Lytechinus pictus: one gene and its partner. The protein of the gene in region 2 purifies or fractionates together with the protein of the main gene of each other region. This does not show direct contact. Links are inferred from orthologs where the notes say so. Each region holds a gene or a part of one and is shown on either strand. Other genes may lie near its edges.

Region 1 (8,876 bases), on a different chromosome or scaffold from region 2:
GACTTGACCTTCAAGTTGTTTTAAAAAAGAGAGCAATTTCATTTGAATTATGAGATGTCTGAATATGACATGGACATATGCTGCCAAGGAAAATCCTTTCAAACGAATGTGACCATGTGCCACGAGGTCGCCTATTTTTGCGTTACATGGTGATTCTTGCTTAAATTGCATTGCCTTTTTAACTTCATAAGTCTTTAACTCACTATGCAAAACTATAGGCCTATTTTCTGAAAGCATTAATTGTAAGGAATAAATGTTAAATATTGTGTTGTATAGAAAAATATTCATTTTTATTTCTGTGCACACAAGGCTTGACCATGTTGACATAAAATTCACCTCGGGCAACCATTATCAAATATCAATGATTATTGAATAATGCTAAGTTTTGGTGGCCCAAATCGGGCAACCAATAATTTTTGAAGTAGCACAATTTCGATCCTGATTTTGCATAGTCTCGAGGACGCAATGATGATGACTTTTTAAATCCTGTCATATACTTCTTCATCATTGACGTCTTGAACAGGCCCACATAGACATGTAAGAGAATCAGGTAAATAAAGGTGGATTTCCCTTGGAAATCCATCTTTTGATGCAATAGTCACGTAAAATATTTTTATTTTATTAATTTCTACACCTTCCTACACCTAATGCGTAGGAAGGTAAGGTTTAAAAAAATCTTCGGTAAAAATGATACAAAATGAAGGTTTCTTACCAGATTGATGTTGCGTAGACCCCTCGATCCACATGTAAACAACACAAATACAATGGCGTCGACCTTTGAACCGCTTATGTATTACGCACTTTCGATAAGCAATGCCGTTCTGAAGAACAATTTATAGATAAAAAATATTATTTTACGAATATTAAAATTTATTACGTGATTATAAATAATTATCAATATTAGACTAATTATTTATAATCACGTAATAAATTTTAATATTCGTGAAATAATATTTTTTATCTATAAATTGTTCTTTAAAACGGCATGGCTTATCGGAAGTGCGTAATACATAAGCGGTTCAAGGGTCAACGCCATTGTATTTGCGTTGTTTACATGTGGATCGAGGGGTCTACGCGACATCGATCTGGTAAGAAACCTTCATTTTGTATCATTTTTACCGAAGATTTTTTTAAACCTTCCTACGCATTAGGTGTAGGAAGGTGTAGAAATTAATAAAATAAAAATATTTTACGTGACTATTTCATCAAAAGATGGATTTCCAAGGGAAATCCACCTTTATTTACCTGGTTCTCTTACATGTCTATGTCTATGTGGGCCTGTTCAAGACGTCAATGATGAAGAATTATGACAGGATTTAAAAAGTCATCATCATTGCGTCCTCAAGACTAGATTTTGCACACATTTTTATCAACTCTTTACACTGACTTACAGTTACCATGCCATGGTTACACAGATCAAATTGCAACTTTTATGCAAGCCAGATCAACTTCTGACTTTTTCTTCAATCTAACAATACATAACCATAACAGTACCTCAGGCGATGTTCGTGCAGGCTCCAGAGGGTGTGTCTCGCACTAATAAAAACATCACTCTTCTAAGAAGTAGAGGCACTACTGTCACCATCACATGGATCGCTGGGCATGCAAATATCATGGGAAATGAACTTGCTGACCAACTAGCCAAGGATGCTGCTTTGGAAGCTGCAAGCTCATCATCATTAGCTTCTGAAATTACTCTGCACAAGGAAAGTGCCAAGATTATCCGTAAGAACACTGAGAAGCTGTGGCAACGACGATGGGACAGATCTACAAAAGGAAGATGGACATACCAACTCCAGCCCACAGTTGCCAGGAAGAATGCACACAGCTCTCTTCCAAGATCCACAGAAGTGAAGCTGAATAGGATGCTCACAGGACATACCAAACTCAATGACAATATGCACAGAATTTTCCCTCACAACCACCCTTCACCTAACTGCAGTTGCAACAGAGACAGGGAAACTATAGAGCAGGGGTTCTCAAACTTTTTCTTTGAAGGGCCAGATGAGACTCCAAGTAAACTTGAAAGGGCCAGCGTGAAGTGGATACTTAGAAAAAAATGTGCGCGAAGCGCAAAGACCCCTGCGGTCGGGGTCCTAGATGCCCTCTTGTGCAATCTGGCCCTTATTTTGGGAGCATTTAATCTAACAAATTTATAACAGTTTCATATGGAACGCAGGCAAAATAAGAAAAGATTTCAAAATACAGCGAGAGTCAATATTAATGATAACAAATTGTAGTACTTTAAAACATATTAAAAGGAATCTAGATAGTACCTTTACATACCTGGTATTGGGGAGACAGATAATGTCTTGAAGTATCAATATTTTTTGTAGTCAAAGTAAAATGAATAATAGACCATGTCTGTTGTAGACTATAACAAGGATGTCAGTCTACTAGTCACTTTTAATATGGGAAATGTGACAGCAACAAGTTGCATGAACCTTGGCACAAAAGGTGTAATTGCCAGACGAAGACACTGGTGCAAATGTTCACTGGTCAAGCAGGGGCCGTGAAAGGGGGGGGGGGGGGCTGCCCCCCCTTTTTTCAAAAACCATGTACAAAAAAGTAAAAATGACCATATGATTGTGATTTTTTGCATGACCAGACCCCCCTCCCCCCCCCCCCCCATTTGAAAACCGTTCCGTGGCCACTAAGGTACTTCGGTATGAGTGAGTTCTTTGAAATGTTCATTATGGAAAATGCACTTTCGCACCTGTATGTAGATCCAAACATAGCGACAATTGCGCTGGTCATCTAATAAGAAAGTAGATAAAACAGACAGAAAAGACTCCACTAAACTCTGTTTAAAAGTCGAATTAATTTGACTGCCATTACTTTTATTACGGTTAGGTCTACGTGGATACACGATGTAATCATATTGAGCTCTTTCATATTGTGACTTAAAAGTGATAAAAAAAATCCCAGCAGAGTCTCGCGGGCCGGATTGAGAAGCTCTGCGGGCCGGATCCGGCCCGCGGGCCGTAGTTTGAGAACCCCTGCTATAGAGCATGTCCTTCTCCACTGTTCACTCTGTCAGTACTAACAGTAACAGTGAACACACAAAAGTCACCATGTCCATGGTCGAGTTTGCATCATACTAAGTGTAACTGTAAGAACGTGCATGTATCCTACATGGGTGAGACAAAAAGTAATTTCAACAATTCAAAGTCCTTGAAACCGTGAAGCATTACGAACAGTCAACAACACTAATTGAATTCAGGCTCAGCTCAGCCCCGCGCCTGCGGCCGGGCCGCGGGCTACGACGCGACACCTGCACCTCGGGCCTCGCTTAACTAGCCGCATGCAGTCAGCTCAGCTGCTGCTCACCTGGCCTGGCCTGGTACCAGCTGCAATCGGGGGTAAAGTTTCAGTTAAATAAGATAAATCTTATCCTAGAATTGAAAATGATTTTTAATTCATTCATGGCACTTACTAGCTAACGAATCTGATGTCTCTACTCTAGAAGTTGGTCAATTTCAAGAAAAGGCAGCGTATGTTGTCGTTGCGTAATGTCTGCACGTCGGTCGGCGTCGATGCGCTGCATCACGTTTGCTATCTGCGAAATCTCAAATTATTTCCACTGCGCGCGCTGCATGATATGCATGCTTAACGCTTCTAGTGATTTCAGTGATTATTTTCGCGCTAAAATTAAATGCATTGCATAACATGCGCGCGCTGACGCACGTGCGCTGCACGTACCCAAACCCAAAGGACGTTACTAGTATTATTTTTCCGTACATGGCCGCTATGGACATGAATTATTCATAAGTTGAGCTTAAAAATGAAATGCGCAGGCGCATCCTCTTCACTGAATGATATACAGTCAGACCGCAGCTCGCGCGATAATGAGCATATTCACGGAAATTTATTCAGCGGCCCTCTAGCGGTCTCCGAAGGAAAACGTGCGATCAATTTGGCTTGATTTTCCAACTGAATTGGAGGGGCTGAAGTTATAGCTCTGTACTGGTCGCTAACTTCAGTTTACATCGAGACGAATTGTGGTAAGTTATTCTCAAGACCTTCATCTACAGTTTGGTATATAATTTTCCATATTTCGACATTTTCAACCTACCATTTTTACCTCTTTAATTGATGCTTATTTTAGTAATATTTTAACTGCGATTTTGTAGTCGGAATTTCACTTTTGGTTCCTGACTTTGCTACATAACCAAATTGTTTCGATCAGGATTTTTTAGAAAGAAGAAAAGTCACTGTTCAAAATATGTCAGAACCAACTTGACGCAAACTCACCTTATATTTTAATTTTAGAGAAAGTGATACCCTAAAAATCGAGAAATTTACGTTTTACCCGGAAGTAACCTTCTCGTTCACTCCACGATGGCGCGAAATAATGCCAAAATTACGTTCGTCGCGGGTTGGTAGAATTTCGCCTTTGGTCCCATACGTTGAAACTTCTGTAATGATGGCAGATGGCTCGCATTATATGTGTCTGTGGACGGTGGACTTGTTTTTTTTTAATTAAGACTCGATATAAACGAAGCTTAATAAGTAGATCCCTTCTAAAGTTTTATTCAATGATTATCAGGTTTCCGAATTCCATCAAGTTTTTATTATACTTTATAGATTGAGATATTTCTTGATTTATGTTGAAAATTGTTAACCTTTTTTCTTAATTACTAAATTAGTCGAAGTTGAGCCCCATGATGATTTTTGCCCCAGCCCAGGCTGCGGTTAAGAATTAAATGATGATTAGCTCAGACAGTCTACTCTAGAGACTATAAACAGTTTAAAGTCAAACTAAAAAGTCTGGTACTACCGTACTCAGTAGTCAGTAGTATTTATAAACCATTTTGTTCAAATAAAAAAATTGTGGCTGTCACGTACAGTACTTAGACTTAACTTAGTTAGTCTCTTAATTGACGTACATGTAACATAATTCATACTTTGAATGGTTATTTAGTAATTTAGACTATTTCTCTCTTTTTTGTCTCTTCTACACACAGATCTGCATACTTGCTGACTCTGGTCTCTGCTTGCTACTTCATTCTGGGAGAGTCCATCATGTACTATAATGGTCAGACCATGATTTCGACAAAGCCCTTATTTCGTTTACAAATTTTGGACTGATACAACATAAAATTTATCTTTATCGATATTGGAAACAAAAAAATTAGAGCACAGTTTTGGGGAGGACTAAGAATACTGACTTGGACAGGAATACAGCTTGACAAAAATAAAAATTCACAATTCAAAACCAAAGGACATTTTTAATGTTACTAATAGTGCATTGCAAGAAACTTTCTACTCAATCACACATTCCAAAATTAAGGGTAAGTCCTTTGATTAAACACAAACATGTAGTTGATTTGCAATTGAAATTGAACATAAGTTTCTTGCAATGCCCCATAATCATATTTTGTTCTCAAGCAACTCTGTTATATGTTATCTAATGTGCTGAAGGTTAAGTGCCATGTATGTTCACAATTTTTTTTTTCGAAGGTATAATATATTTGTCCTTTTAAACGGTATTTGAATGTGGTTACGCCTTGTTTTTGTTTTCCACAGTAATTATTGCATATATGAACAGAAGTGAAATATTTGTTGTGAAGCACTGTATGGATGTTGTGTGATCATGGAGCTATGGTGTGATGGTATTATAATTAATTCATCATTTTTGTTATAAGACTGTAAACCTGGTGGATGTGAGGGAGTGGCCTGGATGAAAGGAAAGTGAGCATGTGTCCAATTACGGATTTGCATATGTTTAGACAATTTTGTTCGTGGATAAATATTAATGTGCATTCCCTATTCCAAGCAAAGAGTAAAGGAGAAGTCCACCCCACCAAAAATTAATTTGAATTTAAAGAAAAATAAAGTATTGCAGAAAATTTCATAAAAACTATGATTCAAAATTAAAAAAATTACTATTTTGACATTGAGAAATTTGCCTAATTTTATAAAACAATTATATGCTCATCTTGGTCAATGTGCAAATTACAGACTCGATTATGTCACAAGCACTCTAATTTCTTGTGTATTTTTTTGTTTGATACATGTACATGACATGTATATTTTATTTTAATTTTCATTAACAAATTTTGAGAGGGATTTTAATTCCTCCATTAACATTCGTAGTTTCCATAAATGTAACCTATTGTGATTCGAGGAAGATTTTTTAGATCAAATTTGCTAAAATTTATATAATAAAAATGCAACAAAAATTTAAAAAGTAATGTGATGTGAGTGACATAATCAACTCTATTTGCATACCATTGTTTTGTGTATATAACTGTTTTGTGTTAAAAAAGGGAAATTTCTGTATTTATTCAAATAATTTTTTGTTGATGTGCACTTGACCTTTAACTCACTTCCCTTCCCACCCCTGCCCAAATAAGTGTAATCAAGAACTTGAAAATCAAAAGCAGTGATTAAGAAGAAGTAAGAATTAATCATAGAGCTATTAATAGCTCCATGATTTAATAAATGCAGGCCTAAATAGAACTTCACATGAAAGTAAAAAGAGAATAAAGCTGGGTAGGAACGATGAAGGAATATGATTTAAAGAAAAAGCATAAACATATCCCCATCACCCCCCCCCCCCCCCAAAAAAAAAAAAAAAAAAAACAGTCCGGCGGGTTCGAACCAGGGTCCTTGCACACGCCAAAACAATGCGCTTACGCAATTCGCCATCGATCTATTCCGTACTACTTCCGGGTTTTTTAAGCTATATAAAATGTTGCAAGTCTGTGCGCCGCTGTTGACCAATCAGAACGCGTCGGCAATTCTACTGCAATTCCAATCATTTTGCGATGGACATTGCCGTGGTTTTTTGTGGTTCCTGACTTTGCTACATCATGAAATTTCATAATTCTTTTTCAGTCGTAAAGAAGAATGTCTACGCTTTATATTGATTATAATATCAATTTGACGCAAGTATAATTTCGATGCAAAAATGCGCTCTGTTTATTCACATATATTTCTTGAAAAAAATCATTTTTTCTAAGCTAAATATCGGTCTTCAAAATACATTAAATGTGCATTTTATTTAGCTGATCAGAAATTTCAAAGTTTTATCTATAAAATAAGACCAATTTTGTGAGGAATAAACGATTCTAAGAGCAAAAAACACCGATCGGAAAGTTCGTCTTCACAGCTCATTACGTATGCATAACCACGGACGGCTATGCATACCGCTGAATAAAATAGAGCACTTTCGGACGGGCTGCGGACTGACTGTATAACAGCCAAATATTCGCACAGTTTTCCTCAACTGTCAAGAAAATCACGGGTCTCAAGCAAAGGCAACTTTCTCAAATACATGTATTGGTTTACACAATCACTTTGTTCGATTTTTTTTTCAGGTATAATCGCTTTTCATTCATTTTACTTTTACAAGACGTAGTTTAATAATTTGTAAACCCTGGCCTACTAGCTCCAAGTGCTACCATGATATTTTTTCTTTTTGTTGAAAACTATAAGTTGTCTTCGTGATTTTTATTATGTCTTCTTGAAAACTTACAATATGTTTTATAGGCCTATTTTTTTTTTTTTTTTTTGCATCGTTCTATTTTTTGTTGTCTTTGCTTTTTGTATTTGTGGACATGTAACAGGACCCTCTGAGTGAACAGTCTGCAGGCTATATACCCTGCATAAACAGGACTTGATGATAATGATGATGATGATAATAATAATAAGAAGAAGAAGAATTATAATAATAACAATAATAATAATATTGATGATACTACCACTACTACTAAATAATGATAGCAATAATAATAATAATAACAATTAAGAAGAATATGGATAATAGCCACAAAAAAAAATTATAGTGCACTACTAATAACATTTTTAATAATTGTAATCTAGGGATGTATTTTCATTCTTGTGGGCATGTGGGGGGACCGGGGGTGGTTTCACATGTAGGACCCCTACTGACTATCTGCTGACAAATTGAAGAAGTTATTGTTCCCAGTGGAGGCACCAGGCTTTTCAAACGGACATGATTTTTTTTTTGCCTATTTCACAAAATCGCGAGCACGAAGCACGAGTTCAAATTTCTAATATAGGCGCTATACTCAACAGGGAAATGGACCTGCTAAGAACTGTAAATATATGATATCTCTCTAAGATGCAAAGCGCTATAGCTAAAAAAAAACGATCCTGATGTGATAACCCAAGTCCATCCCAACTAAAAGTTAATTTGAATAAAAAAATCGTTCTATTTTTGTTGTCCTTTGCTTTTTGTATTTGTAGATATTGTGACAGCTAGGGCCCTCTGGTGAACAGTCTGCAGGCTATATTACCATGTATAATCAGGAATTGATAATAATGATAATGATTATTATAATAACAATAATAATAATGATGATGATGATGATAATGGTGATGATGATGATGATGATAATAATAATAATGATGATGATAATGATAATAATAATAATGATAACAATATTAATAATTATAACAACAACAACAAGAATATGGATGATAGCCCCCCCCCCCCAAAAAAAAAAATAATAATAATAGTAATAAAATTGTTACTAATTATGATGTAGTGATGTATTTTCATTCTTTGGGGCATGTGGGGGGATCATTTCACATGTAGGCCCCCTACTGACTATCTGCTGACTAATATAGGGGCAAAGTGAGTGTTTCACAAAATTGCGAACGCGAAGCACGAGCTAACATTTCTAATATAGGCACTATTAACTGGAAAATGGACCTGTTAAGAATTGTAAAGATGATATCTCTCCAATAATGCGAGTGCAAAGCGCTTGCTAGAAAGCATCCTGATATGATAACTTGACATTATTTAAGCACTTTTTTGCAACCATTAACAGCATGGGTATCTCATTAAACAATGGATGCGAGCACGTAGATGGAAATGTTTAACATTCAACAATTTGTTTTTA
Region 2 (8,875 bases):
ATAATAGGATCGATTTCAAATCGATAAACTTTAGCAAAGTGAAATGATGACCTTAAATGCATATATCTAGTTTTTAAGGTAAGCTATAACGTTTGGCAATAAAGGTGGAAACCAGGGCAATGCCACGGGGGAGCTGGAGTGGCAGAGTCGACATCCCCCATTTTTTATATCGAGGGGCGGTGGCAGAGGAAAGGGGGGGGGGAGATGAAGGAGAAGAAAAACAAAATCGAAATAAGAGCCTGACAAAAATGGCATGGGTCATTTAACGCTAAAGTACATCTATTATTCATTTCATAAAAATAGGCCTTCACCAGGTTTAAGGGACGCACCATTAGATACCCAGGGGGGGTGGCTGGAAGTTTGGGTGATACAATTTTTCTTTCTTTTCTTCTTTGAGTAAAGTTTTTTTTTTAGTCCATTGAGAATTTGTTTGGCCCTTTTCAGATGATTTGTCAGTGGACCATTTTGTTTTGTTTACTCTGATGGTGAGTCAATTTTTTTCTGCTCATAATAGCAAGTCAATTTTTTGAAAAACTTCCAGCCCCTCCCCCACCTGGATATATAATGGTGCGTCCCTAAAGGGGTACTCCAGGCTGAAAATAATATATAACAGACACGTAAGACCAGAAAAACAAAACACTGCAAACTTGATCAAATCGGGCACAGAATATGCCTTTGTGAAGTTACAACACTATATAAAGGATAAGTCCACCCCAACAAATTGCTGATTTGAATAAAAAGAGAAATATCCAACAAGCATAACACTAAAAATTTCATCAAAATCGGATGTAAAATAAGAAAGTTATTACATTTTAAAGTTTCGCTCAATTTCACAAAACAGTTTATATGCACATCCTGTTTGGTATGCAAATGAGGAGACTGATGACGTTATCCACTCACTATTTCTTTTGTATTTTATTATAGGAAATATTAAATATTTAATTTTCTCCTCATTGTTAAGGGAAACATCGATTAATTTCTCCCTGAACATGTGGAATTAGCATTGTTTAATACTATATGGTTCAGTCAAGTTGGTCCTTATTGTCAAATGTGTAAAAAATGAAATATTGTATAATTCAAACAATAAAAAACAAAAGAAATAGTGAGTGATGGACATCATCAACTGATTCGTTTGAGTTGTACATATCACTGTTTTGTGAAAATAAGCGAAACTTCAAAATGCCATAACTTTTTTTATTTTACATCCGATTTTAATGAAATTTTCAGTGTTATGTTTGTTTAAATTTTCCTTATGGGGGAGCAAGAGCAAAACAATTGCAAAACAATTGGTATGAACAGGCAATGACGTCACAAAGCAACAAATTTGAGAGGGCGATCTGGTGTATCGGGCAAAATAAAAATTTAAAAAGATGCGAGCGAGTTAAAAAAAAATATGATATTTTCATTTTAAAATTCCAATTTTGTGATAGATTTTGACATAATGTTTAAAGCATAATATCATATTTTACTAATCTCTCTCTCCCTTTCTCTTTTTTTTCTTGGTCTGTACGCCACGCTGAACAGGATTTTTTTTATGATTGTGCATGCGCGAGCATCAGGGCGAAGCTCTATACTCGAAGGGGGCCAGTATGGCGCGTGTGGCAAGAGGTAGCTCCCGAGTAAGCGAAGCGAGCGAGATAAAATAAATCACCTTTTCGTGAGAATATAACTTTAAGATAGATTTTTACGTGATATTCAGAAAAATATAATAGGGCCTACACTTTTTCTTTGCTTTGCTTTCTTTCCTCCTTTCTTTTTTGTTTGGTTGAAGAACTTTTTTGGGCCATGGTTCAAATTTTTCCATACAACAGTGCTATGTGGGTGGGGTCCGGGGCGGAGCCCCCGGAACCTCATGATACTATAAAGTCATTTTAAACCTTACCGATGGCCACTATTTTAAAAATCAAATTGCGTCTATATTATATAGCTTTCACAGTGACACAACACATAAATTAATTGCAGTTGCGTAATATTTTATCCAAATATTTTGAGGGGGCACACCATACTAAATGGGAGAAAATTTGTAAAAAGTTCCCAGCGAGCGAAGCGAGCCAGAATGAAAAATGGACCTTTGAAATGAAATTCTAATTATGTGATAGATTTTTACATGATAGCAAACAACATGTCATATATTGTTTCCATTCATCTAATTTCGCTGCCTCGTTGATTTTCGTTAATTTCCCCTTGGCTGTGGAACCACCCCCCCCCCCGTACGCCAGTGCTTCAACGCAAAGCTTATAATGCAGGAAGGGTCCATACAGGGGCCCGTTATATAGAGCCCTTTAAGGACGTTCCACAGAACATATTTGTGCGCATTATGATCTGCGCATAGTTTACACTCTGCGCGCTGACGTCACAATGGATGAACAGGTGATAGCTGCGGGTATGAGCTGATTTTTCTCATCTTCTGCACTTTAACTGCAGATCCGATGCGTTATTTCATGAAGCTAAAAAATTGAATTATTCCATGGACCATTCAAAAATATATTCTCTACAATTTCAAAATACTTTACTCTGCAGTGCTGCCAAGAATCACGAATATTACCCCGAGTTTGAATAAATGGTAGAGTGGTTTTGATTTTTTCTTCACATAGATACTAAGCATTTGGCCCATTTTTTGTGTTTTAGAAAGCACATTTGCTCTAATAAAAATGCTGATAGTTTAAAAACAAGCACATGAACCCCTATTTTTTAATGTTTGCACCTCTTAGGTATACCTTCCTCTACAACTCTGCAAATTTTGGTGAAAATGACATGGATTTTGAATAAAGTGCAGCATTTATCGTACGTTTGTAGTTTGTTACTGAAATTTTACATTTTTTAGATTGGGATTTTGTTATCTTTTACGCCATTTTTAAGAACTGACAGTGCTGTTAAACTTAAAATTGCAAACAAATAGCACTATTAATAGATTCTCCATTCTAACGATACAATTATCAACTCTCTTGCGAAATTTGATGACTTTTTCATGTATTTTGACTGAGTAATAGAGGTTTAAACTCATTGTAGTAATCTTGGGCGGTCTAAAAATGCCAAATTCTTTTGAATGCGCAATTCTTAAGAACATCAATTTGGGTGAACTTTGAAGCTCTATAGCAAAAAATCAAGCACATGGACCTATGTTAATTTTTGCATATTTCGAATATTAAGGTTCTAAAGTATCTATGTGCAAAGTTTGGTGAAAATGACATGGATTTCACTTTAACTGTGGAACGTCCTTAAATGTTACAGATGAAGAGCCCCTACTGCACGGGGTCTTGGGCAGAGCCCCCGGTAGCTTTGGAGATTTAGCAAGCTTATATAGAATTTCGTACATTATGCTATTATGCCATCCATCTTTTAGATGTATTGCTGTACACATGCATGACCAAATTATTTGGTACCCCCTAAACGAGTTTTTCTCTGTGTGCAAAATAATCCCCTTATCAATTTTTTTCGCGCGCTTCAGTCATATTGGCCCCTAAACAAGTTTTGTCTCGGGCCCGAACACTTTTCAGAAACGAGGAGGAGAAAGCACCTTTTATTTGAAAATCGGTGTTTTTGATACCCTTGAAAGGCCACCGCACACCTTACGACTGGTCTGCGACCCGATTTCAGAATAAAATGTAATAGAATTTGATGCTAGTATTGAGACTTGGAATATCTTACTGTGTAATGTTCGAAATCATCGTATACCTATGATCAAATTTGTGACTATGCTATCATCCTTCTTAGAATAAAAGCGAATTTAATATATAGTCGTTATGACGTCATAGGAGTCTTACGATTGGGTACGATTTGAAACTAATTTGGACTTTACTCCAAAATAAGGGCATGCAATCTTTCAAAATTGTTATAATATTATTATTTCAATTAATTTTAACCTCAAATAAAATGATATGTTCCATTCACATCTTCAGAAAATGAGCAAAATGCGATTTGTTCCAAAATCGGGTCGCGGACCAGTCGTAAGGTGTGCGGTCGCCTTAACGAGTGCACTCGCGGCCCGCGTCCAAAACTGAAAAAAAAAACCAACACCCCTTTAATAGCGTTTTTTGGTCATTTTTTACAGCAATATTTTTGACTGCCCCGGGGTTTTCCCTTTTTATGTGTTTCTTATAGTTTTCTGTTCCCTTTCATTTCCCTTTCCTCCCCCCCGGCCCCCCCCCTTTCCTCCTTTTCTTCCTTTTCTTTCCCTTTCCATTTCTTTCTTTCTTTTTTTCTTTCTTTCTTTCTTTCCTTCCTTCCTGTCTTCTTCCTTTCTTTTTTCCTTCCTTCGGCATTCCTTTCTTTCGTTCTTTCTTTTTTCCTTCCTTCGACATTCCTTTCTTTCGTTCTTTCTTTTTTCCTTCCTTCCTTCCTTCCCAAGTTCCTCCTTCCTTTCTTTCTTTCTTTCTTTTGTTCTCTCTCCCTTTTTTCTTTTTATTATAATTTTCCCGGTGAAATCCGCCAGGGGGGCGGGGGAGCTTGCCCCATTCTGCCCCCCGCCTGTTACGCCACTGCCTATAGCCTACTATGGGGGTACTATGATCTTACTGAGATCATAATCTTTTTCACTGCATGCACCGAAATAATGCTCACTTTAAAATGTCACAACCTTGTTATCCTTTTAGTATTTTGATAATTTTTTAATTGTTTTGTAGGTCTGATTTTACTTAAAGGACAATTATAAGTCCACCCAAGCAAAAAATTGATAAAATTAAAAGAGAAAAATCCAACGAGCATAACACTGAAAAATTCATCAAAATCGGGAATAAGAAAGTTTTGACATTTAAGTTTTGCTTAATTTCATATAACAGTTATATTCACATCCTGGTCGGTACGCAAATGAGGGGACTGATATGACATCACTCACCTATTATTTATTTTGTATTTTATTATTCATAATAATATGAAATATTCCAGTTTTCTTCCCGTTGTAGCCTACTATATAGTTTTATTCCTCCTTGAACATGTAGAATTACCATTGTTTTAACATTTTATGGTTCAGTCAAGTTGGGCCTTGTTTTAAGATCTGTAAAAATTGAAATATTATATAATTCAAACAATGAAAAACAAAAGAAATAGTGAGGGACATCATCGACTCATTATTTTGCTCGTCACTGAGTTGTACTGCATACATGGCATAGGGCCTAACTGTGATAAATAAGCGAAACTTTAAATTGTCGTAACTTTCTTATTTTACATCCGCTTGTGATAAAATTATTAGCGTTATGCTTGTTTGATTTTTCTCTTTTGATTGCAATCAACATTTTCTGGGGTGGACTTGACCTTTAAGACCTTTAATCTGTTCAAATCAATATTTTTATGCAGCACTACGTATTCGTCTTCTGAAACACCCCTTCCCTCCCCGGGGACGAGGTTGCAGCAAGCCGATGTTTCGTAATCAAAGCGCGCGCAATTTATGTAAACATGACTTTTCACGTGCATAAACACGACATACCGTATATACTGTGCATGTGCTGTGTGACATCAATTGATAAATTCGTGGATCTGTCTGTGACTGTGTACATGCTCTCGACTGTTCATCAGAACCTGCTATAAATGATCGCAACTAAAACATTTTATAAATCAGCTAATATGGCCCCTGTAACTCGCACTCGAAATCCAAGACCAAAGCGAGAAGGAGGTTCTGAACTTGAAGCAGCCGAATCAACATTGGCTTCGAAGAGAGCAAAGCGGGTAAGTCATGCAGGCTCTTGTTGATTTCATCGATGGTCGCCGCCGAGGGATGCCGGGATCTCGCCGGACTTTGACTTGTAATGAACCGAACCGTAGCCTGGCCAGAGACGAAGCTGTCACTGTCACTGTATTCAGCTTCATATTTTAGTGTGTTAGTTAATTCTTACATCTAATTCTAGAATTATGATATTAAATTCAAATGTATAAAATGATATTAGGAACCTGTCAGCTGTCTTATTTGTTTTAATAATTTAATTTCTTTAATAAAAATAAATAGATTGACATAGGCCTAGTTAGGCACTTAGTTAGCAGTAGAGGCGCACGGCCAATATTGGAGACTGTCTCCAATGTGGGAGATTATCTCCAATATCAGAGACTTTTGTAAAGAATTTGGGTATCCAATTTCAGAGACAGTCTCCAGTTTTGGAGACCAATTTCCTTTGTTTACATTTGCTGCAAAAGGATTACCTTGGCGGCAAATAAAAATGTGATAAGGAGATTCCTCATGAAAAATTACCCCTTTTCACCGTCTACTTTAAACATTCACCGTCTACTTTTGTTTTGATAAGGATTTTTGTTGTCAATCACACACAAAACAAATGGACTTCTGACCTCAGTGAGACAAACTTTTGGGTGGAAAAAATAATGCTTTTGTTGGTGTTTCTTTTGTCCTTTTGCAAAGCAAGTCTCCAATGTGGGAGATTGCCTCCCCTATTGGAGAGAGTCTCCTATATTAGCCGTGCGCCTCTACTGGTTAGGGTCTAACTTGTTAGGCCTATATAAGTTACTAAAACTCTAACCCTAACGTCTGACATTTGGGCGAGGCAGTATAAGTTTCAGGGAAATTTAATCTAAGTTAATTAAAGTTGAATGTTACTTTATGTTAGCTGGCTTTGTTTGATTTTAAAATTTTTATTGGGTCAGCCTTAAAAAAAGGTAGGCCTAGTATTTTGAATGCAAAGTCAGTACTATTAATTACAAACAATAACTTATTAATCTAAGTTAATTAAAGTTGAATGTTACTTATGTTAGCTGGCTTTGTTTGATTTTAAAAATTTTATTGGGTCAGCCTTAAAAAAGGTAGTCTTTGGAATACAAATTAAGTTAGTATTAATTACAAACAATAACTTATTAAGACAGAGAAATGAAGAAGAGGAAGTCTGGAAAACAGAAAATATAACGATGGCATGCAGCCTGCAGGACTTCCTCGATGTAGCCTTCGAGTGCTTAAAGGTCAAGTCCACCTCAGAAAAATGTTGATTTTAATCAATAGAGAAAAATCAGACAAGCATAATGCTGAAAATTTCATCAAAATCGGATGTAAAATAAGAAAGTCATGATATTTTAAAGTTTCGCTTATTTTTCACAAAATAGCTATATATGCACAATTTAGTCACATGCAAATGAGATAATCGATGATGTCCCTCACTCTCTATTTCTTTTGTTTTTTATTGTTTGAATCATACAATATTTCAATTTTTACAGATTTGACAATAAAGACCAACTTGACTGAAAAAAAAAAAGTTAAACAATGGTAATTCCACATGTTCAGTGCGAAATAAAACTTTGTTTCACAGGACAATGAGGAAAAAATTAGAATATATCATATTTCATATAATAAAATACAAAAGAAATAGTGAGTGTGTGATGTCATCAGTTCCCTCATTTGCATACCGACCAGGATGTGAATATAACTATTTTGTGAAATTAAGCGAAACTTAAAATTGTCATAACTTTCTTATTTTCCATCCGATTTAAATGAAATTTTCAGTATTCTGCTTGTTGGATTTTTCTCTTTTTATTCAAATCCACTTATGGTTGGGGTGGACTTGTCCTTTAATTAATAAAATAACCTTGGCCAAAAAAAAGTGCCAGAATATCCCCATTCATTACTATGTTGAAGCTTTTCTAATACTGCAGATTTATCAATTAGGTTGTGAAAATTGGTCCACCGAACCTATTTTTTTCATCTTTCTATTTTTTTTTTTTTTTTCAGACTTCTGTTAGTTTGAAAGCAGAGATGCCAGATGCCGACTTGTCGCCCGCCGTCAGACGCTCACCAAGAGTTATGAAAAAGGACGCAAAGGTGTCGCTGACCAGGACAAACATCTTGAAGGAAAATGTTCAGAGAGGGAAGGAAAAGGTGAAAAAGGAAATCAAAGAGGAGGAGGATGAAGAAGAGGAGAATGCGGATATCAGACCTCTAAAAGAAGAATCAGATGTAGAAATGGTAATAATGATATTTCATTTACTTAGGGTAGCCACTATAGTTGGGAATGATAATAATAACTCTTATTTACCCAGTATTACCACTATTACCATTTCAGCTGCAAGCCGTTTTTACCGCTGGTAGAGAAGAGAAACTCTACCGTACCATGACATAAGATGTTATTACTATCCTTCTCTAATCTTAAGTGCTGAGCACCTAGCGAAGGTGAAGGTCCCATTTTTATACATGTTAGTCTTTGTCAGGGGCGGATCCAGGATTTTCCAAAAGGGGGCGGGCTACATGTAAGTTCGAATTCGGAGTCCAAAGGTCACAGCTCATATATGCGAGTTGGTTCAAAGGTCTAAATTCATTGTTTTGGTTTCTGCACGATATTAAGTTCAATCATATCGAATGAATTTCTGATCGCGTTAAGCGGGGGCATCTGTGTCCTTTGGACATGTCAAATTTCTAGTTTTTTCAGTGTTTTGTTCTGTTGCATCATTATTAGTTTTTGTCTTCTATCTATCTCTGTAGGGAAGTCACTGTAGAAATAGAATTATCATTATTTAATTAGATACAGAGCATAGTTGAAATCTGTTCAAATTATTTAACTTTTATCTTCATATTTCTTCAATATTTCATTAATACAGAGTGATGGGGAGGAGACCCACCCGGGTTTATCAGAATATGAGCAGAGGAGGATGGAGAACATCTCCAAGAATGCTGAGTTCTTCGCTTCTCTTGATATCTTCAAGGTCAGTTTCTTCAGGACCATTCACATCGCTCCGTGCTGACCTTGCGGGCGAGTTGTGGTCAATCACCCCCAACTCACTCGTAACATGGTTTTGAGCATGTTCAAAACTTTTCTGGGGGCAATCAAACAAGTTTGCGTGCGCTCCTGTGGGTAACTGTCACGTGCAAGACTTGCACGGAACAATGTGACAAGGCCTTATAAATTACAAATCTTATTGCATATTATCATCTGTTTTCGTTGGGAAGTTGACA

The links.
Region 1: the proteins of WD repeat-containing protein 76-like (region 2) and lymphocyte-specific helicase-like purify together in Homo sapiens (affinity purification with mass spectrometry; 4 studies listed by BioGRID and IntAct, counting the BioPlex papers as one, with this or other methods). This does not show direct contact. The link is inferred for Lytechinus pictus from reciprocal best matches to the Homo sapiens genes WDR76 and HELLS.

The regions. Positions count from the first base shown.
Region 1 is NC_087260.1:1,348,990-1,357,865, forward strand, and holds the start of lymphocyte-specific helicase-like, read right to left. Parts: upstream 3,748-8,876; 5' UTR 3,437-3,747; intron 1-3,436. UniProt on the Homo sapiens protein: Plays an essential role in normal development and survival. Involved in regulation of the expansion or survival of lymphoid cells. Required for de novo or maintenance DNA methylation. May control silencing of the imprinted CDKN1C gene through DNA methylation.
Region 2 is NC_087250.1:12,391,200-12,400,074, forward strand, and holds the start of WD repeat-containing protein 76-like, read left to right. Parts: upstream 1-5,370; 5' UTR 5,371-5,523; coding exon 5,524-5,661; intron 5,662-7,657; coding exon 7,658-7,891; intron 7,892-8,520; coding exon 8,521-8,625; intron 8,626-8,875. UniProt on the Homo sapiens protein: Specifically binds 5-hydroxymethylcytosine (5hmC), suggesting that it acts as a specific reader of 5hmC.